3 linked regions of the Lytechinus pictus genome follow. The protein of the gene in region 1 purifies or fractionates together with the protein of each later gene. This does not show direct contact. Links are inferred from orthologs where the notes say so. Each region holds a gene or a part of one and is shown in the gene's direction. Other genes may lie near its edges.

The links.
Region 2: the proteins of ubiquitin-associated protein 2-like (region 1) and ras GTPase-activating protein-binding protein 2-like purify together in Drosophila melanogaster (affinity purification with western blotting; 3 studies listed by BioGRID, with this or other methods). This does not show direct contact. The link is inferred for Lytechinus pictus from reciprocal best matches to the Drosophila melanogaster genes lig and rin.
Region 3: the proteins of ubiquitin-associated protein 2-like (region 1) and RNA-binding protein FXR1-like purify together in Drosophila melanogaster (affinity purification with western blotting; 3 studies listed by BioGRID, with this or other methods). This does not show direct contact. The link is inferred for Lytechinus pictus from reciprocal best matches to the Drosophila melanogaster genes lig and Fmr1.

Annotation. Positions count from the first base shown.
Region 1 is NW_026974140.1:6,702,779-6,710,568, reverse strand, and holds the start of ubiquitin-associated protein 2-like, read left to right. Parts: upstream 1-4,774; 5' UTR 4,775-4,789; coding exon 4,790-4,822; exon of another isoform or gene 4,823-4,858; intron 4,859-7,790. Other genes in the region: hydroxylysine kinase-like, read right to left, coding at 1,233-1,286, 1,817-1,959, 2,733-2,898, 3,382-3,585. UniProt on the Drosophila melanogaster protein: Acts in the nervous system to mediate the control of copulatory organs during courtship.
Region 2 is NC_087262.1:16,239,906-16,246,928, reverse strand, and holds the start of ras GTPase-activating protein-binding protein 2-like, read left to right. Parts: upstream 1-3,949; 5' UTR 3,950-4,227; intron 4,228-4,277; exon of another isoform or gene 4,278-4,357; intron 4,358-7,023.
Region 3 is NC_087260.1:10,215,113-10,222,700, forward strand, and holds the start of RNA-binding protein FXR1-like, read left to right. Parts: upstream 1-4,481; 5' UTR 4,482-4,489; coding exon 4,490-4,566; intron 4,567-5,192; coding exon 5,193-5,289; intron 5,290-6,207; coding exon 6,208-6,279; intron 6,280-6,658; coding exon 6,659-6,741; intron 6,742-7,588. UniProt on the Drosophila melanogaster protein: Polyribosome-associated RNA-binding protein that plays a role in neuronal development and synaptic plasticity through the regulation of protein synthesis of mRNAs.

The DNA of each region.
Region 1 (7,790 bases):
TCGCAAGAGATGTTCAGTGATACTTGACGACTCTTATGTCTCAGTTTTATGAACTAGACCAATATACTTACAGAGTTATGATGGTAATTCAACAAATACCCCCAACATGGCCAATATCCATTGACCTTTGACCTTGGTAATGTGACCTGAAACTCGCACAAGATGTTCAGTGATACTTGGTTACTCTTATGTCCACGTTTTATGATCTAGACCAATACACTTACAGAGATATGATGGTAATTCAACAACAAAAAACCAACATGGCCAAAGTTCATTGACCTTACATGACCTTGATCATGTGACCTGGATCATGTGACCTGAAACTCGCACAGGATGTTCAGTGATACTTGATTACTCTTATGTCCAAGTTTCATGAGTCAGATCCATAAACTTTCAAAGTTATGATGGTAATTCAACAGATTCCCCCATTATGGCCAAAGTTTATTGACCTTTGACCTTGGTCATGTGACCTGAAATGCGCACAGGATGTTCAGTGATACTTGATTACTCTTATGTCCAAGTTTTATGAACTAGACCAATATACCTTCAAAGTTATGATGGTAATTCAACAAATACCCCAAATTTGGCCAAAGTTCATTGACCCTAAATGACCTTTGACCATGGTCATGTGACGTGAAACTCATGCAGGATGTTTAGTAATACTTGATTAATCTTATGTCTAAGTTTCATGAACTAGGTACATATATTTTCTAAGTTATAATGATGACATTTCAAAAACTTAACCTTAGGTTAAGATTTTGATGTTGATTCCCCCAAAATGGTCTAAGTTCATTGACCCTAAATGACCTTTGACCTTGACATGAAACTCAGGCAGGATGTTCACTAATACTTGATTAACCTTATGGCCAAGTTTCATGAACTAGGTCCATATACTTTCTAAGTTATGCTGTCATTTTCCATGAATTTGCATATCAATAATATTAATAAATAAAAAACTAAAAATTAACGAATTATGAATAAATAATTGAACACACATACATGTATGTATATAATATGAATATAAATGAATTATAGATAAGTGACTGGATAAATACAAAATACAACATGGATGGATGGATGGATCGGAAGGTAGATAGATAGAAAGGTAGATAGAAAGGTAGGTAGATGGATGGATGGATGGATAGATAGATAGAAAGGTAGATAGATAGATAGATAGATCTACAGTTATAGTTCAAGAAAGAAATCAATAACATGGAATGGTTTAGTAGTACCTTTACCAACCTTTGAAGGTTTCGATCTTCATTACAAAAACCATCAAGGGACGCCTGATTGAAAATAATACAAAACGAATATCAGGTTATAACTAAAGTGTGTTCATTTAGCATTTAGAAAAAAGTGGAGAAACATAAATGATATTAGGAGGTTCCATACCCACTTATTTCTGTTTATTATCCAATTATTTTCCTCTTGACTATTTACTTCATTTGCATTTAAAAATCATTTTATCATAATTATTTTTTTCAGCAAACTACTTAAATTCACCCAAGATAATTGAGATATGTAGGGATAAACAACATCATACATAGGTTAGAATGCCCAAATTACAGCAACATTATCATTACAAGTAATGAAAGTTTGATTAATTACATTATCACATTGTATCAATATTTCATGGTCAGATGGTGTTTGGGGTGCCGTTTATTGTAAATATACGATGATAGCTTTTTATAATTAAAAAATATCAATAAAAAAGGCTTTGAGAGCTTTGACAATATTAGCAGATATCCAAGGTAACTTTAATATGAACGTACATGATGCGCTTAAAGTTCATTGATATTTGATAATTCCACTATACCTCTAAAATCTTGTGCAGGTGAGCAAGTTTTTTGCCAATATCTACCAAGATCTCATCTGGAAGAGTGTTCAATGACCCAAGAGGTTGACCAGGCAAGAATGACAAAAGAGTTACCATATACACACCATGTTTTCCAACAAAACCTGAAAATATCCAAGCAGATCTAAATTTAGGCATCATATATAATACCAAAGTCATGTACAATCAATAGAAGGTTTGTAGTACTTGTTACAATGGCAGTAATTAAGTTGAGGCTTAGACAAAGATTGGCAAATGATCTTTGCTTTGACAGGCATATTGTTTTAGAATAGGTTGCTCTAACATTTTTATTCAAATCCTATTGGATACTTATACCTTTGATAAAGGTGATGCAAAAATATTGAAATGAGAGCAAGTTGAACAAAAACCTTTAACATTTTCGAACAGACTACCAGAATGCACCAGCCAATCATATTCATGTTACCATTTTAAGTTCATCATAAACTGAAAATGGTAACATGAACATGATTGGCTGGCATATTCGTATGCTGCAAGCTGTAAAAGCAACTATCGATCATTGGAACCGTACAGCGGCTCTTTGGAATTTAATTTTTGGATATCAAATCATACATTTCAAGAAACTGGTATGCTGATTGTTTAGTTAAAATAATAATTTTTATTCAAACGCTTTGTTTTCTCTGTCAAAAGGGGGAATTACGGAGTAATCGAAGAGGGTGCGCTGGCAACCTTTTCTCCAGAGACGCTGTAGTTAAGCGTCGGTCAAACCTCTGCCATTACGAGCCCAATGGCCATTATCGGTCTATTGATGGAGGGGATACCGCAGAGACAGACCAAGTCTCAGCGGAGCATATCCCTGACAGAAATAGACATATTTATCGGTCTACGTCCAGTGTAAAATTGAATAGAATCATCTTACCCTTTCCATTTCCGTCATTACAAGAGATAGCCTCAAGATGAACAAGTTTGCCATATATATTACGGACTGGGCGAGGGCAGCAAAACTCTTTATTGGACAGGAATGCCATGGTGTTGACCGCCAACTCCACCCTGTTTCCATCTGCAGAATCTTTGGAGTTGTACAACTATTTAAGGAAATGAGTTGGTACATTTATAGTATAACTTGGATTTGTCAACCAAGCAATATTAAGCATCAACTGTTGGCCTTTAAAATAATAATCATAGTTTAAAGATCTTTGGCATTCTATTCCATGCTACATGTAGGTAAGTTTGTTTTGATGAAATGAAGGAGTACACTTAGGCATACAATTTTTAAAAAGTATCAAGAAGATACTTTAATAATCAAAAGATGAAGTGATTTAAATGACAACTAAGCTTTTTACTTGTGTTATGAGAAATTATCTTATACTTTAGGAATGTCAAGACTTTTTTTCCTGTGATAGAAGTTCAGAGAATACATGTACAGTTAACATGAAAGGAAACAAACAAAATATAGGGGTAAATTGTGATAGTTCGTGATAAAATTAGCATTAATAATTCCATGTATGTATGTTATGTAAGACATATTAAAATGGGTTTTTGAAAGAAAAAGCGGTTCCTTGAAATACCTTTAGAATGAACTGATCACATTTCTCATCCCCACTGCCACAGTCTATATCGATGGGACTTTCTAATCCGATGTAGAAATTTTGGTCTGTAAAACTTTTCAGTTCTTCTAGGTTTGAAGCTTGGATATTATAAAGCTTGGTAAGGAGTTCATTAGCTCCATGCAGGTCCAAGAATGGTCTATTAATGAGTTCAGATCCTTCCATAATCAAGTCTTCTCAGGGCAGGCTATAGCATAATACTCATAATAGTGTAACAAAGCGTATCTGAAATGAAACACAGTGATAAATATACTTTATAATTATATCGTTCTGAATCTTTTATCTTTTAAACCCGCTCAGGCTTAATTCCTAATTTCTAATATGATGATGATGATGATAAAGAAGATAATGATGATAATGATGATGAATGATGTCGATGATGAATGATGATGATGTCGATGATGATGAATGATGATGATGATGCCTGATGGCAATGATGTCATGATAATAAAGAATGATGGGGTCTAAAATCTAATAAAATTCTAGTAAACTATCATGAATGCAAGTGAGTAAAACTTATTATTAGGCCCCTAGGGAAATGTGGGATGATTAAACTTACTGTACATACCTTAGGCTTGTACAAGTTCAAGATCGTAAGACGTAACACAGCTGACTATATTATTATTCACTATAGGCTTACAATATATATATAGCGTATACTAGCTAGCCTACTGCATGTACTGCAGCCCTGTGTACAGCTAGCCCGATTGAAAGTTAAATGTCCCAATTTAAGTTTATTCGATTATAAGAGAGGGTATAAACCTTCATTCTCAAAGATCATTATCAAATGATTATAGAGTCACAAAAGATAAAGTGTACATTATTGCATTATATAAAATAAGATATATACAAAACTTAAATAGTAACCGGTACTTCATTTGAAATACATTGTAATTTGTATTCAAATGATAAAGTCGGCTGAATTTTGTTCCCCCTCCCCCTACTCATACATTAGATTTTCCCGGAAGTACTTGTCTGGTCGCCGCGAAATATTTTTGCCCTTAGTCACGTGACTCCGGCTTTGTGAACCATCGGATCTCAATTTTGTGAGAAAGGTAACGTAAACTTAGTAAGTATTGCGAGATAATTTATTGAAAAGTACTTTTTAAAAAGTGTTTATGAATAATAGAAATAGCTATCCTTATGGAGAAATAATTAAAGCACTAATTTTTGCCATTGATAAAATAAATTTTCAATGTTTAATTGAGGGAATCGGATTTAATTTTTGTCTTGCACGCGACATTTTTTATCACATTGTTATTGTTCATTCTGTGTGTGTAGAGCGTGCATGGTGAATGCGTGTATGCGAAACGTACATGTACACGTACACGAATGGAATTGGTTCCGTGAGGATGCGAGTCGTGCATGCATGTTGACTGGTGTTGATTGGGTTGACGTTGAGGTTCGCGAATTGATGTAATTTAGAGTCTCGTTGAGTGTAAGAATTGTTTGGGTTATATAGACTAATACTTTTTTGCACCGGCTGATTTCGGGCAAATTTCCCCACTAGAGTCTAGACATGCCAGAATTATGAATAGGCCAGGGGCAGGGGCCTGTTGCATGAAACTTGAAGGGTCTTTTGTAGACTAGTAGAAGTTAGAACCATTCTAATTTCTACGTAAGACTAAGAACGAGATATCGCTCAACTACTGTTTCACAAAGCGATACGAAGAATGGTCCTTGGAAAGACACCTCCAGACATGTCCTACGTAGGCATGATCTTCTTTGCACACCGCCCGCCACCGTCGGCATTGAGAGAAAATGCGTTTACGGCAAGCTACGCAGACATATCACCTTCAAACATTTTTTTGGGTTGCACACTGATGCATTTTATCTGGGATGGCACCAAGTTATTTTTTATATGGGGGCTATTTGTCATCAATTTCAGGTCGTCTTTTTGCACGGTAAGACGACCAAAAACAGATGTCATTTTAACTCCTCCGGGCATTATGTCCGGGCCTAATGTAGGCCCAAATATTTTTTTTTTATTTTTTTTCTTTTATTCTCCGTCCTATCCCCATACCATTTCCATTAATTTTTTTTTAAATAACAAAATGGGCGGCACTATCTCTGACCCCTCATGCTTTCTCAAGTGTAGATAATTGAATAAACAACATGAAAACAAATTTCTTTAAAAGAAATTATGTGGTAAAAAAAGTGTTTATAACGTTCAGCAAAAAAAAAAACACGATACAAAACTAAAATGTTAAACATGGTAAATCATTCATTTACTTTTATTTCATTTTCATTATAATTATTTTTTTTGCTGAGATTAATTTTAATCAATGAAAATTAATTGTGGGATTTGGGCTAACTTGAGATCTGAAACAGTGAAACAAAACAAAAAATCTGCAGTAACAAAATAGCTAATTGAATCTAAGATACAGATTAGGCCTATAGCTTACGAATCCATCACAATTATTACAAATGAAGATAAGCTAGTTCATTAAAGAAAAGATTATGGGAAGTCCATACGAAGAGGCGCATTTTAAATCGTAGGGTAGGCCCCTTTCGGCCCCTATGTAGGCCTAATGTTAAAGCAATAATGTAGTCTCTATACTCCTCAACTTTGAAATGTTGAACATATATATTTTTTATATTCTTATATAAGCTTCCATAAATTAAGTGATCAACTTTAAAGATGACCAACGTTTATGATCATTGTAATATTTAGCATTATTTCTGTAAATAGTATTTTTTCCATTGCGGATTGCACACCTTTTCTATGTTTTAATTGTTATTGCAAAGCACTACTTTATCCACTTGGACATGTTTGCAGCAATTTTCATATTTTCCTTGTCTTCGGTTACTTATCATGCAACTGAGGTATGTTTATACTCTAAACACTCACATTTGTATTTCTTGCGTTATATCTGACAAATAAAATAAATAAATTAGATTTTACACAGGCAGCCTCTCATATTTTCCTCTTTAGTCTCATACAATCAGACACTGTTGATTTTGTTTACTTCATTCAAACCCTATTTTTACCTCAACAGATAACATATTAACGGATAATTTGCAAAATCATCATTATATATATGTATTCTATAAAAAATCAGTATATTGAACTAATAGAATGTCGAAATTACTTAGTTAAATCAATTTTTATGTCGGAAAAGGTCTCTTCGTTGAAATATCAATGAAAGGTGTCTCTAAAAGGACACTGTGTTCTAAATAAGGGAAATAATGAAAATTTCGATTTTATCAAGTTATGTTTGTGAATCTTGAAAGTTTTTTCTCTTTTTACCTCATAAAGTACGCTCCATACATCAATTCTACAATCAGTATTAGATAAAACATTATTTGACCCCCTTTTATTGAAAAATATGATTTTATGAAAAATCGTCATTCCGAAATAAAAGGTTCAGGTGACGATGAAGACTAAATATTTTTCCGATACTATCGATATCAAACGATGTCGCGGACTTGAAAGATAAAATTGCCTTCGTGATTTGGAAAGCGCTGATTTGTCGCCAATCTTCCTATCTCGGAAGAATGGTCCTAGGACGTTCCTAGGTATCGCTCATCTCGTCGTGCAACAGGCCCCTAGTCTATAGTAGTAATGACCGTATTGTAATGTAAGCAAATGACAAAATGTCAACTCTTGGCCATGGGACGTGTGGGCATGGCAAGTGCTAACCCAGGGGGCTCCGGCCCGCTGCGCGGGCCGGAGCCCAGGGGCTTACCGTGTAATTCACCATACCCACGGTAGTAGCATGAAGTATGGTCTAAATAATTTTAAGAATAAATAGTTAAAACAGAAATTAAGCACTTACCACGATTATATGGATGAAGGTCTAACGAGTGGCAGCTTCCTGACATCGAGGCACAGACGGGAACCTCAAAAAACGAAAAGTTCCGTCGCGGTAGCTCTCCTTCTTTCAGAATTCAAAACAAAATGGCCGATCGAGACCGAGGCTATATAGCACTAGCGCATATAGACTTTGTCAAATTCGTGCATGCGCCCTACACCCTCGGTACCGGTCTCGAACGGCCATTTTGCTATGAATTCTGAAAGAAGGAGAGCTACCGCGACAGAACTTTTCGTTTTTTGAGGTTCCAGTCTGTGCCTCGATGTCAGGAAGCTGCCACTCGTTAGACCTTCATCCGTATAATCGTGGTAAGTGCTTAATTTCTGTTTTAACTATTTATTCTTAAAATTATTTAGACCATACTTCACGCTACTACCGTGGGTATGGTGAATTACACGGTAAGCCCCTGGGCTCAGGGGAGCTCCCTGGTTTGGTTAGGCAAGTGCCAGTCTAGACCAAAAAAAGCTTCGGTCTCTGTTATGTTGGTTGTTCCGCTGGACTACGTTGGCTCCACTCACCAAATACATTGACCGAAGTTAAACCTTCGTCTGTACA
Region 2 (7,023 bases), on another chromosome or scaffold:
TTATAGATGAAGAGCCCCTACTGCGTGGGTTCGGGGCAAAGCCCCGATATCTTATTTGAATAAAATTTAGCAAGCTTATTGCACAATGTTGTATGCAGTCCAACTTTCTTCCCGCTCTTTATTTTCAATCATCGGCATGCAGCCAGGTCGTGTTATTAAGTGTTTTATTTTTCTTGTCCCTTTTCTTCGTTTTCCAATTTAGCTTTTGACTAATTCCATTCTAACTTCATTTCCCGCTATTGTTTGCCATTTTGTCATCTTTTAATTTATTTCCCATCACGCTATTGCATTATTTTCGGAATGATTTATCCTTCCTCAAAATAAATGTTCTTCTTTCGTTCCTTTTCCCGCTGTCCTTCCTTCCTATTCTGTTGGCGTTTTCTTTTCCCTTTTCCTCTCCTTTTCCTCCTTTCCTTTTCCCCTTTCCTATTCCCTTTCCCTTTCTTTCTCCCTCCCTTTCCTCTTTTTCCCGTTTTTTTTTATTTTCCCGGTGAAATCCGCCAGGGGGCAGCTTGCCCCCCCTGCCCCCCCCCCCGCCTGTTACGCCACTGATATATAGATAGATGAATAAATAAATAACGATATATACATTCAGGCGTGTCCCCCTGCCTGACACCCATGCCAACCCCCCCCCCAAAAAAAAAAAAAAAAAGAATTCGACGTCAGTATAGTTGTGTCTCATAATTATGTCGGCCTTCTTATTGTTTTTGGAGCCGCTAGAATTAATTTTATTTCAATTTCCAACGACTGTGTTTTTTGTTTGTTTCGTATATGAAGCAAATTTCTCTACGTACAATGGCAAGATTTCCATACAAAATAGGGTGGGAATGGAGGTAGCTGCTAAAAAAAAGGTGGAGCTGCATGCAGCATTCTCATATTCTTTTAAAGTATTTGGGGCTATAGCCCCCCACCCCCTCCCCTCAATAAAAAGCGCAAGTAGAGGCAAGATGACAATCAACTTGAGCATAAATGTACGACCAGTATAGTACTGACAATTTTTCTCGTTTTTATTACTTTTTTTAGTACCGAAACTCTGGAAATTTTGGGCCGGGATAATGAGTGGAAGGATACCCCTCTACAGTGCGTATCAAAAAACAGTTTACACTTTGAAAAAGCCCTGGGAATTAGAAAATATACAACGTGTGGGTAATTTTTTTCACATATAATCTTGGGTTTGGGTCTCATTTATCCAATGAAAGTAAAAGTTTTGACAGAATGTTACACTTGAGTGAGCACTGTCCTTTTTTGTAAAGCTCGCAGAAATCTGTTTGCGCAGAAATGCTCGTTTGTACGCTGTGTCAAGGGGAAAGGGCGAAATCAAAACTTACCCTGCGAAACATTTCTCATTCATTTCCCTTGCACTTTTAGTCAATTGAAATAAAACGTATACATTTTCTAACAATTTTGCCACCCAAATTGATATTTCAACACTTAGTAAACACAACCTTTACCCTTTTTGTGTCAGCTGGATCTGAGGACATAACTGGATCTGAACAAAAGTTTATACCAGACATCTCTAGCATTTTTTACTAAGTTTTTATCATTTAAAGTGGGTTTATATATTTTTTTAAATTTAACACTTGTTTCTCCACACTTTTCCCAAGCTTGAAAATAATTAACAAAATGAAAATCAAGCCTCAGCCATTTTATGTAAATCAAGTATAAAGCAAATATCGTCACAATGGCCTCGATGTGTGGTGGGGTGGAGCGCAATCAGTGGCGTACCTAGGATTTTCCAAAGGTGGGGGCAAATTCGTCCGCCAAAAAATTTGACAAGCAAAAAAAAAAGAAAGGTCTTCAACCACAAGTAAAGGACATTTCGCACCATAAATAAATTGACAAGCAAAAAAAAAAAAAGGTCTTCAACCACAAGTAAAGGACATTTCGCACCAGAAAAAAATTTGACAAGCAAAAAAAAAAAGGTCTTCAAGTTCAAAGGAGGGGGCCACTTGTGGCTCGTCAGGGATCAGTTTTGACTCGTCAGGGGGGGCAGGGATACGTCCTTTGCATGAGTTGTGACTCGTCGGTCAGGGGGGTAGTCTGCCCCTCCCCCCCCCCCCCCCTTAGGTACGCTAGTGGGCGCAATGCACTCCTCAAAGTGGTTTGGGCAAGGAAACAAGTTAAAAAAAGGTAAAAGATATCTTCAAAATATTACTAGCTAAATTCCACGTGTTATTCATGATTAAGGTCTACTTTTATTCGCATAACTATTTCAAAGTTCTGCGCAAATCATTTTTCACTAACTTTTCAAAAGTAAGTAATGCTCACTCAAGCGGAAATATTTTTCGACAGTCATAATTTTATCGTCATTTGCTTAAATGGATCCGTACCAAAGTTAAATTGTGGAAAAATCTTCAGGATATTACAAAATTTGTATAATTTTACAGGATTTTTTCTAAGTGTAAACCTTTTTTTGATACGCACTGCATATAGACACAACCGGTTACAATATAGCTTATATCGACCTTATGGCTGATTTCTGTAATTGAATACATTATTCATCAGTTTGAAGCTCTTTAAATACATAGATTATTGTGTATTAATTGTGATCAATCGTCAAAATCAACTGATCAGTCGCCATACCGCCGGGATAAAAAAAAATCTAGCCCTCCAGCTGCTGTCCCGTGTAGCCACCGACTACATAATAAAGGTCAAGTCCACCTGAAAAAAAAACGTTGATTTGAATCAATAGAGAACAATCAGACAAGCACTATGCTGAAAATTTATCGGATGTAAAATAAGAAAGTTCATGACATTTTTGAACGGTTTCGCTTATTTTCCACAAAATAGTTATATGCACAATTTAGTCACTTGCAAATGGGAGAATCGATGATGTCTCTCACTCACTATTTCTATTTTTTTATTGTTTGAATTATAGGGCCTACAATATTTAAATTTTTATAGATTTGACAATAAGGAGCAACTTGACTGAACCATGAAATATTATGGTTAATTCCACATGTTCAGGGAGAAATAAACTTTGTTTCACAGGACAATGGGGAGAAAATTAGAATAATTCATATAATAAAATACAAAAGAAATAGTGAGTGAGTGATCACTGTCATCAGTTCCCTCATTTGCATACCAACCGGTATGTGCATATAACTGTTTTGTGAAATTGACCGAAACTTAAAAATGTCATAACTTTCATATAATACATCCGATTTTGATGAAATTTTCAGCGTTATGCTTGTTGGATTTTTCTCTTTTTATTCAAATCAACTTTTTGATGGGGTGGACTTGTCCTTTAAAAACTTCCCTAGCGAGAGGGTATATGTTCGGCGATTTTGTGAATTAAATTTTGGTTTTTATATAGGGCCGGGATCGACCCCCTGCTTTTCGAATTTTGAGGGGGCCGGGAAATTTGCTTTGCCCCTCTCCCAACGAATGATTACAATAGGCACAACACCAGGCTATATCATTTTAATAATCATAGTAACAACAACAATAATGATAATAACAATACGGATCGAAGAAGAATAAATTTTTCCCTTCTACTTTCTTCTTCTTCTTCTTTTCCATCTAAATAATGATCTGCGTACTAGGCCTACGTACACTAGCCCCTGCCTATTTGCCCCCATTACCACCAGGGCAATTACCACCAATTACCAAGAGGAACGTTGATCAAGCCTTAGATTCCATAAAGAAGTATACGAAGAAATTACCACCAAAGAAAAAAGGGTGGGTTGGGGTCACTTAAAAGCCTCTCAGAATCCGATTTCGATTTTGTTGAAATTCGACATGGATTTCCACTTTTTCAGCTTGCTGCATATTTATCTAGTTGTTGGGGTAAAAGTTGTACCGGTGACAATGTAATTAAGTCACGAATTATCAATTTCCTATCCATTGTTTACTTCTTACTTGATCTTCTTTGTTTATTTACTACGCCTCACTTTTTCAGGAAATTACGTCATTTTTAACTTGGGTCTTTGTATATGGTGTGGAAATCATTCCAACTCCGATTTGTGCTCTTGCATGGCCCATTATGAGATCGCGCAGGGTCTGTCGGGTTTCCCGCCTGACTCTCAGGGAAATTGTGCGCAGAGAAACTGTGAAATCAGTTCAGTTTGCGCACTGTGAATACATGTGCAACAATATTGCCCGAATTTCATGAGCCCCATTTTAATATTTTTTTCGGTTTTTGATTGTAAGGAAGCAGCATAATTCCAAATACCGATGAAAAAATAGGGTTTCACGAGGGACAGGAAATTATTCTACTTGTGCAAGGTGAGTTTGGTGATTTTGTTTTATTTTACCATTGTTATGGTGTGAAATGCACGTTTTCATGATTGTGCCGGTGTTGCATGATGTGCGTCGAATTTTATGTCGAATGATTTCCTTCCTGATCTTTCCAAAGGTGCAATTTAATACTTAAAATGATGTATGATTATTAACCTCTGGTATTAAAAGGTGTATGATATGCTAATATATATTCCTTTCCTGTTTGTAGTCATGATTTGCTTTAATTCATTTTTTCTGGCCCAATTTACATCTTCCATACAATGAATGAAATGACTTCACGTGAGAGTGAGTGGGACATGGCACTGTGGATCACGGGACTGTAGCCGCGACGTACGGTGCAGGGCACCGTTGCATGATGCCTGCTGCATTTGCATTTGTCACTGCGGTGCAATGACAATGTCATTGCCATGTCATGGTCCTGGCCTTTAATCTTTATCATCAATATTATTATCAAGTTCAGAATTCTAACTGCTTTATAACTCATAATGATTTCCTGTAATTTCTAGATAAACATGATAAATAACCTTTGAAATTAGAGTTTAGACCTAGAACTAATACTAATAGAAATCTACTTGACTGAATCTCACTTTGTCAGTGCCACTGGAAGTAACTGCCAGGCCGGGCAGAAAGAGGCTTCTCAGGTCAGACAATTTTTTTTTTTTTTTGGGGGGGGGGGGGGTGGGGTCTTGAAGACAAGATGGCTTTTATAATGTTATAAAGAGGGGGGGGGGTAAATATACACACCTAACATTGGACTGATGTTGATTATTTCAAATTATATTCTCAACACAGAAAAAGTCTTGTTGAAGAGTTAAGGTGAAGTTCACCCCAAGCCTGATGAAAAGTTTGATGTAAAAATACCCCAAAAAAAATATTGATGAAGGGAAGAAGGTTCGACTTTGAGGAAAATCCATTAGATCTAAAGATTGAAATTTACTTGAATTTAAAGATTTTGATTCATGACGTCATAGGAGAGTAGAGGCGCACGGCCAATATTGGAGACTGTCTCCAATGTGGGAGATTATCTCCAATATCAGAGACTTTTGTAAAGAATTTGGGTATCCAATTTCAGAGACAGTCTCCAGTTTTGGAGTCCAATTTCCTTTGTTTACATTTGCTGCAAAAGGATTACCTTGGCGGCAAATAAAAATGTGATAAGCAGATTCCTCATGAAAAATTACCCCTTTTCACCATCTACTTTAAAAATTCACCGTCTACTTTTAAGTTTTATTTTGATAAGGAATTTTGTTGTCAATCACACACAAAACAAATGGGCTTCTGACCTCAGTGAGACAAAATTTTTGGTGGAAAAAATCATACTTTTGTTGGTGTTGTTTCTTTTGTCCTTTTGCAAAGCAAGTCTCCAATGTGGGAGATTGTCTCCCCTATTGGAGAGAGTCTCCCATATTGGCCGTGCGCCTCTACTGTAGGATTCTACCAGCAGCTGCCCAGGCCATTCATGTACATACATAAATTCTAATTTATCAAAGGGGAATGAAACCTTTGGAACAAGTTGGCTTTTGTGGAAACAGAAAAATCAAAGAATAATATCAAAGAAAGTTTGAGAAAAGTCGGACAAATAATAAGAAAGTTATGAGCATTTGAATATTGCGATCACTAATGCTATGGAGATCCTCCATTGGCAATGCGACACGTTATACAATAAAACCCATTTTCAACTTTTTGAGCAAATGACATTTCACTGATTTTAAAATCACGATACATAGGAAGCTGCTCGCGTTTGTCACAAATCACTCAAGGGTTCATTACATGCCGCCGTGCACAGAAAAATCAAGCCATAGAAGTCTTGTGTTGTGGACACCAGAAGTGGGATCGCAGCACGCGCGACCCACTAGTTCGAAATTCACTGCCAAACGCGGTTCATGGTGCGAGGTTAGTATACTAACCTCGCAATACGTGTGAGTGGTCACAAATAAGAAAAAACAAATTCTAATAACTTTTTAGATCTTTGAAGCATTTTCCTCAAACCATCACCAATATTTTTGATTATTTTTCTGCTATTTTTAAAATAAACTTTTTGTCATGGTGACCTTCCCCTTTAATCAACCAAGGATTTTTTTTTGCTACCGACTGCAGCTTTAGCGATCAGATTTGATGTTTTGATCAATGATTAGGATACAGCCCAGACATTCGGAAGATGGTATCGCCTTCAATCGTTCTAGAACTTTTGTGCAAAATGATTGTGATAGAAAATGTTCTGTTGCTTAGAAATTCTGTTTCAAACATTTAATTTGACATCCCTTGCCGATCATTGTCCAATGTTGATCCATGGTGGGGTGAAATCGTAAATGTGTACAGGAGCTGTTGACTTTGCTACATGGCACATGCAGGATGTGCAGATTCAGTTTCCATTATTTTATCTTGGTTGAATCATGACAAATCCAGTGGCAGACAGGCATTCCCATCATCCCAGGCCTTAACGTTTAATAGCGCGTTTTCGCCCAGCGTCGTACGACGCTATCTACGACGTAGAACGATCTCTTGGTTCGTGCGTCCGTCGCGCTCAACTCTCGCTTGTAAGCAGTTTCGCAAATCGCTGAACGCGGCCGGATCGACCGCCAACATATGCATTGTATATGTTCCTACTATGTGCACACAACTGGCAGTGCCACGTGTCTTGCAGTCGCGTCGTCGACCGAGCCATGCAACGGCTTTTCAATCATATTTCAATAATCATACTCGTTTAAACTTCTACTGTAACATTTTGAAATTATACTTAGCTTGATTTTAGTATAATTGAAATGGTACTCACCGAAAAAC
Region 3 (7,588 bases), on another chromosome or scaffold:
TACTACACATGCTCATGTTTATCAACAAGCCTGTCGACTTGGCTTGGCTATGACTGCATGCTGAAAAGATGACAGTACAAATGCAATACAGCATACATGTAGCTCTATTTAGATGCAGATGTCATACTACTGTATGCACTTCTACACCACATGCTCTTGCACAGTCAGCGTGGCCAGTGAAAAAATCCAATTATGCCAGAGGAGCAGCGAAATTATGCTAAATCGCGAAAAATTATGCCAAACCGTTTTTTTTTTGACAAGCAAAAAAAAAAAAAGGTTATCAACCTAAATTTTAGGAGTGGATGCATGCATGTGAACGATTTCCCCCACTTCTGTCGGTGCTGGCGCCGTTCATTAGTAGAATGTGAAAAATGAAAAACAACACTTGGGGGGAAAAAATCGATCAAAATTATGCTAAATATGCTATTATTATGCCAGATTCTTTGCTTAAAAAAGTCTAATTATGCAAAAATTATACCAGCATAATGAATTATGCTGAAAGGGTCGAAATTATGCCAGAAAGCATAATTATGCCAGTTCTGGCAACGTTGTGCACAGTATCAACATCAATATGCTTTATGTATTATGTATTATGTATACATAGTGTTTTTCAACAATATGCAACAAACTTGCATGCATTTTTACATGAAAGATATGTCAGAAGAAAGTACAAGATTCATGTACAATGTAGGTATTTATTAACTGTAGATATTCACAGAAGATGTACATGTATAGAACAGGGGCTGCGGAACGGTTTTGAAAGTGGGGGGCTGACCATGCAAAAAATCATCAGATACATGTTGGTAGTTCATTGCAGAAGATATCATACATGTATGTGTAGTATATGTACACATTACAGAAGATTATTGCTGCACAAAACATAGTGTATTGATGATGTACATTACCAGACATACATGTAGTTCATTACTCAAATACATGTGTATATAATCTAGCACATTACAGTGAGTTTTATTGCAGAAGATGCAAAAGAAGAGCAACAAAATATTTTCTTTAGAAATCTGGCTTTTAACCTTTAAAAGAATGAAGACAAACAATCGTTTCTTTTTTTGACAAAAAGAATTTACTAGAGGGGTCGAACCTGGGGTACGTGATGTCTGCAACTATGTCTATTCTTCATATTCTCTAGATGCGTAATTTATAAATTTTGAGAGGATTAATAGCATAATGGTCTGAGGCTCAGTCATCATGCATACAGTTCATTGAGTATTTTATGCTTCTTTTAAATTGGTTTCCCCATCGTTGTCTTGAAGCTGATAGAGTCTCTGATAAGAAAGAGTAAATGCCGAGGACATGGCGCTCACTCAGGGTACGTTATGTTCAAGCACATCGCAGCCAAAAAGAGACAAACATGGATCCTCTTCACTGTACATATTTGGATAGTGTATTGCAATCATCTTGCAGATATGTTAAAAAAACTGTAGAAAGGGAAACAATTATTGGGGCTCTGGGCTAATTTGCTTAGGAAATGCCCCCCCCCCCTTCCAAGGCTTTTTGGGTGCAAATTCACCCTGAGCCCCCAAGTAATTTTTTCCAGGTAAATTGCCAATTCATCCACTGCAAACTCGTCCACTCAAGCCATTCCGTCCATCAACATTTCGTCTAACAATCAATTGGTCCAATATCCATTTGGTCCAATCATCACTTCGTCTAATCACCAGTTCGTCTTGGTTTTGCCCAATTAACATTTTTCCAATTAAACCAAATGGATTGTGGACTATTAATGGCTATTGGGCCAACTGGTTATTAGATGAAATAGTGAGGTGACGAAATGGCAATTAGACCATGTGGATAGTGGACAAATTGGTGATAGACCAAATGATAGTAGACGAGTTGGTAATTAGACAAATTGGCATTAGACAAATTAAATAAACCGTCCTCTTAATAGTTAAAGGTCAAGTTCACCCCAGAAAAATGTTGATTTGAATAAATGGAGAAAAATCAAACTAGCATAATGCTGAAATTTCATCAAAATCGGATGTAAAGTAAGAGAGTTATGACATTTTAAAGTTTCACTTATTTTTCACAAAACAGTGATTTGCACAACTCAGTGACATGCAAATGAGACAGTCGATTACGTCCCTCACTCACTATTTCTGTTGTTTTTTATTGTTTGAATTACACAATATATCTCTTTTTACAGATTTGACAATAAGGACTAACTTTACTGAACCATATATTAGACAATGCAAATTCTACATTTTCAGAGAGGAATTATTTGTTGTTTCACTTGACAATGAGGAGAAAATGGGAATATTTCACATTTCATACAATAAAATACAAAAGAATTAGTGAGTGGATGATGTCATCAGTCTCCTCATTTGCATACCGACCAGGATGTGCATACATGTAAACCGTTTTGTGAAATTATGCGAAACTTTAAATTGTCATAACTTTCTTATTTTACATCCGATTTTGATGAAATTTTCAGTGTACTTTGCTTGTTGGATTTTTATCTTTTTATTTTCAAAATCAACTTTTTGTTGAGGTGGACTTGCCCTTTATTTGATATCATCAGAGAAGTGAAGGATTGTGTTTACCCGACAGACTCAACATGAGCTGTCCATCAATAGTACTTGACTCTCAAGAAAAGAATTCCATTCCTCCAGCATTTTGACATTTCTCCCACTTGGGAATAGCATTGGGAGCTTGAAGAGGACGGAAGGAGAGAGAATTAGGGATAGATCAAGGGGGATACATGTAGGTGGATAGTACAAGTATTAGCTCCAGTTGTAATTATCTCAAAATCGAATTTTGTGATCATTTACAAATGTTAATACAATAACAGTTATAAGCTACGAATTAAAATCCTTTCCTCTAATACATGTAGCTGATATTGAATTTGTTATAGAAATTGTGCATTTGGTATTGAACAAGTCTTTATCAAACGGGACTTTGTTCTGTAGATCTGTGCTTTTGACTCTGTTCTTGGTTTGGAGTGTCACCGTGGGCAAAATATTTCTATCAACTCTCCTGTATAGCACTTTCACATGCAGGGTCCATCACTCTTTCTCTCCAATTGGAACAGGGTCGACGATGAGATTTCCTATGATCATGAGGTCATTTTGTCCTTTCATCGTCGGTCCGATTCCATTCCGCAATTCCCATTGAGAGATGATGGACGATCACAAAGAATTCACCCCCTCGGCTCGGTGGATCCATCTTTGTCAGATGGGATTGTAGGGGGATGCCTCAAGACTCATGCAATGCATCCAGAAATAGGAACCGCCAGACTGCATTGGAATGTCTGAAGATGAAATTATGTCATTGTCTCTGTTATGTAGAGTAAAAAACATGTACAGTACATACATTGTATTTGCCCTTCATATGTAGTACTACATGTATCTGTTTTACTTCAGTGCATTTGATTTTTTTTTTATGAAAGAGTGCATGTACAGGGGAGCATTTCATCAACATTTTTGTCTGACAAAAATTGTCAGGTCTGACAACTTTTCCTTGATTATGATTGGTGGAGATGCACTGTTACCATAGTAACTGTCAGATAAAACAGTACTTGTCGGATAAAACGTCTGACAACTACAAGTCCTTTCATGAAACGCTCCCCAGTACTGTATTACACACTGTACTTCAGTGACATAGATAAAGCAATTTTTGCAATAGGAAATTAGATACAAGCCAAGGGCATGCAGACTGGGATGGCGCAACATTGAGACCATAACACTTGAGCTTCCTGAGTAATTTTGCAAGAAATCCTAGTTTATACTGCCTCTCCTTCATTTGCATTCCCGTACATCAATCATGTTGCAGTGTAATGTACATAGGAAGTGGGGATTCCCCCAGTCAGGAATTCCCACACTCTGCAATGTACATACATAATGTACATAATGGGTGTGAACTTCGCACAATGCAAGGTAGCTCAGACAATAATTGCTTTTCTTTTGTTCAATTTGCCAACACTAGACAGGTGTAATTTATTCATGATATAATTTTTATGGCATGATGATTTAGCCAGTAATGAGGCTGGAGCATTCTTTTTGATGTCTTTGTTTTAAGCAAGCCTATAATGTACATGTATCCCTATTAAATCTACATGTAATCTTGCAATTTAAAAATTACATGTAGATCTACATGTACATGTAACTTAAGTAGTGCTATTGTTTTAGGGCTATGTTATACTCTCTTTCTATTTCATTTTCACCCCTTTTTGGTAAGTTGGGTATATTCAGAGTCTCGTCTAAGTTACAATTACGGTAGATTGAAAAGGGAGGGATAAGATTTCACTTGAAATCTTAATATTCGCACTACTTTGAGTTAATAAAATTTTGCGTTGTACAGTATTATCTTTCATGTACCGTACAGTTCTGTATATCTTTTTTTTTTAGTTGTATATTTGTTCCATTATCCTTCATTACACCTTGACTATCCATCAATTTCACCCTTATTTTTTATATATAAAATATATATTTTGATATAAAATATTTTTCCTCAAATGTGTAAGAAAATTCATCAAATGTTTTTCTTGTATAATCCACAGGCAGTGCTAAAAAATATACTTGAAGACGAAGTGAGCATAGCATTTGAAAACAAGTAAGTTGAGCTCTATTTTTAAATGCATTTTCTTTAAATCTCTCTACCAAGTGTGACATAAATTTACATAATTTTCATCATAAAAATTGTCATTTTCATCATCATCATCACCACCACCATCATTGTTGTCTATACCATCATCACCATCATTACCATTATGATTATCAACATCATCATTACCATCATCTTCATCATCACCATCATCATCATCACCATCGTCATCATCCTGAACGTCATAATGAACGTCATCTTCATCAGATCAGCGTCATCATGAACGCCATCAGATCATCTGTGTTATCACCATCATACATGTACATGTAATCATTATCATCTTCATCATCATCATCTCCATCATCATTGAGCTATTTTCATAATAATTGTCATCATTATCTAGAAAGATTTTGTGAGTTCTTTCTCTTCATGTAGTTTGTTCTAAATGTACATGTATTTTAAACTTAGACTAAAATCAGCAATGAATCATTCTTGAGGTCCTACATGTACACAATCATATACCAATTTAGATGGAGGTTTGAGTTTTCAATAGCCATTAGATTGGATTCTATAATGAATAAATGTTTTCCATACAATCATTCCATAATATTTGTTTGTTTTGTCATTGTTTTTAGTTGGACAGCAGAGAGAAGAGTTCCTATCAATGTTGTTCGTCTTCCACCAGAAGCATCAAGAGAAGTGCTAGAACTTAAGGCTGATGATGAGGTCGAGGTAGGAATCACCTGACATTAATCCTTTGTTTTTAGGATACGGAAAGACCATGTGAAAAATCTGCATTATAAGCAGACACCCCCCCCCCCCTTTGATAGTTTTGGGCAAGGCCACATATCCTGAGTGGAGCGTCGTGGCCAAGTGGATTAGTCTCCGGACTTTGAAACAGGGTTGTGGGTTCAAATCCCAGCCGTGGCGTAATTTCCTTCAGCAAGGAATTCATCCACAGTGTGCTGCACTCGACCCAGGTGAGGTAAATGGGTACCGGCAGGAAGTAATTCCTCGAAAAGCTGTGTGCACCGAATAGGTAGCCTAGCTTAGCCAGGTAATAATAGCAGGGCCCGCTGGGAGAAAAGTTTTCGGAACTGAAGTGGCTACCCTGGGTAAATATACCTTTATTATTATTATTATTATCTAGAAAGCACATTAATATATAATGTTCAGCATATCCAATGGAGGGAATAATTTTACTTTTCAACTTTGATTAGCATTTTTGGTTGGAAGAGGAATGCTTTCAACGATGTTCTTTACAGTCCTATGTGAAACATTTTTGCACTAATGAATATTTGTGTAGCATTTATAACAAAATATGGAGCGTATTGCAAATAATGCCATACTAAGAAAATTGTTTCTCGCATTGAGCAGGGAATCGAGGCCAACCAATAAGGCACCCAAGGCCATGGCCTGGTGGCTTTGGATTTATAAGACCTGAGTTTCTACAAAAGAGTTGCCTTGGATTAATAAGACCTGAGTTTCTACAAAAGAGTACATTCTTGTGATATCATAATCACTATTGAATTCACAATTTTTGTTTAAGAGCCTCCAAGGACAACAGTATTCAAATTACCGAGTGAGCCACCCTAATAAAGAAGAAATAAATGAATGAATAAATAAATAAAAACTTCTTTTTTTATTCAGGTGTATTCAAGGTCATTTGAAGGTGAACCTTGCGGATGGTGGAGAGCCAAAATACAAATGGTGAAAGGGGAGGTAAGAAAGATATATAGTTACTTTCATATTTCATGGCATATTTCTTTCTTCTTAGGAGTTTCTGCATTTTATTCATAAGTGAGTAATAACTTAGCATCTTCATATGGAAAGATATGTATGTAAATGAATATATTTTAAATGTGACAATCAAAAAGATAAGTAATAATAACAAAGACTGATCGAATGCTTATTGGATTTATCTCTATCTATTCAAATCCACTTTTTGTTGGGGTGGACTTGTCCATTAAACGATTTAACACATTGTAATTGTAATCTAAATTTTCATGCAGCAATATTCTCCATTTACAAATGTTTTGATTTTTGGGGGATAAATGAAGCATATGAAATAATGGAATCTTTATTTTGTTTCCTCTTGCAGTTTTTTGTCATAGAATATACAGGCTATGATGCCACCTACAATGAAATAGTACAAGGCGATAGGCTGAGGCGGATAAATCCAAAGTGAGTTTCACAGTGATGTTTTGGGGGATTTGAAGTATGGTGTGAGAAATCAGATGTTGGTGTCAGAATTTTTTGCACCCACTACACAGACGCGTGCTATGACGCACTAATTTCTTTCAAAAATGCAAGTATAAAGTCACTATGAAGAGCAGAGAAGTTTTTGTTGAAAGTTGGTGGATCGGGAAAGCAGATCGTCCAAAGATTTGGAGCAGACGAAAAGTTGGAGATACATGAATATCGTTTGTCAAGAGTCCAGGAGGACACTGCTATTTTGATTCACCAATTTTCGACAAAGGGTGTTATGTCAATGTAGGGCTTATGACAAAAGATTCTATGCATACAAAGCGTTTGTGAAGTGATTATGGCAATGCCAACATCGGCCATGACACCATGCTTGAAATTAATAGTTATTTGGCATAATCAGCAATTATATAAAGAACAGAGTCAAGCAATTGGAGCATGTTGACCCAGTGGATTAGTTTCCAGACTCTGAAACAGAGGGTCCTGGGTTCAAATCTCAGCCATGGCGTAGTTTCCTTCGGCAAGACATTGTTCTACATTGTGTAGCACTCAACCCAGGTGAGGTAAATGTGTACCTGGCCGGAATCGATTCCTTGTAATGCTTGTGCTCTGTAAGATCACCAGGCCAAACCCATGGTACATGTGATAATCAGGCCAGGGCCACGTCTTACAAAGATTTACGATTGATCCAATCAATCATAACTATGGAAATCCATCTGTGTCATAATTTTTCTACAGGAAATTTGCAAAATGTCCTTTGTAAACAAAGGAGAACACACCAAATTGTCTAGAAATCAATGAATTCATGGATATACATTCATATCTA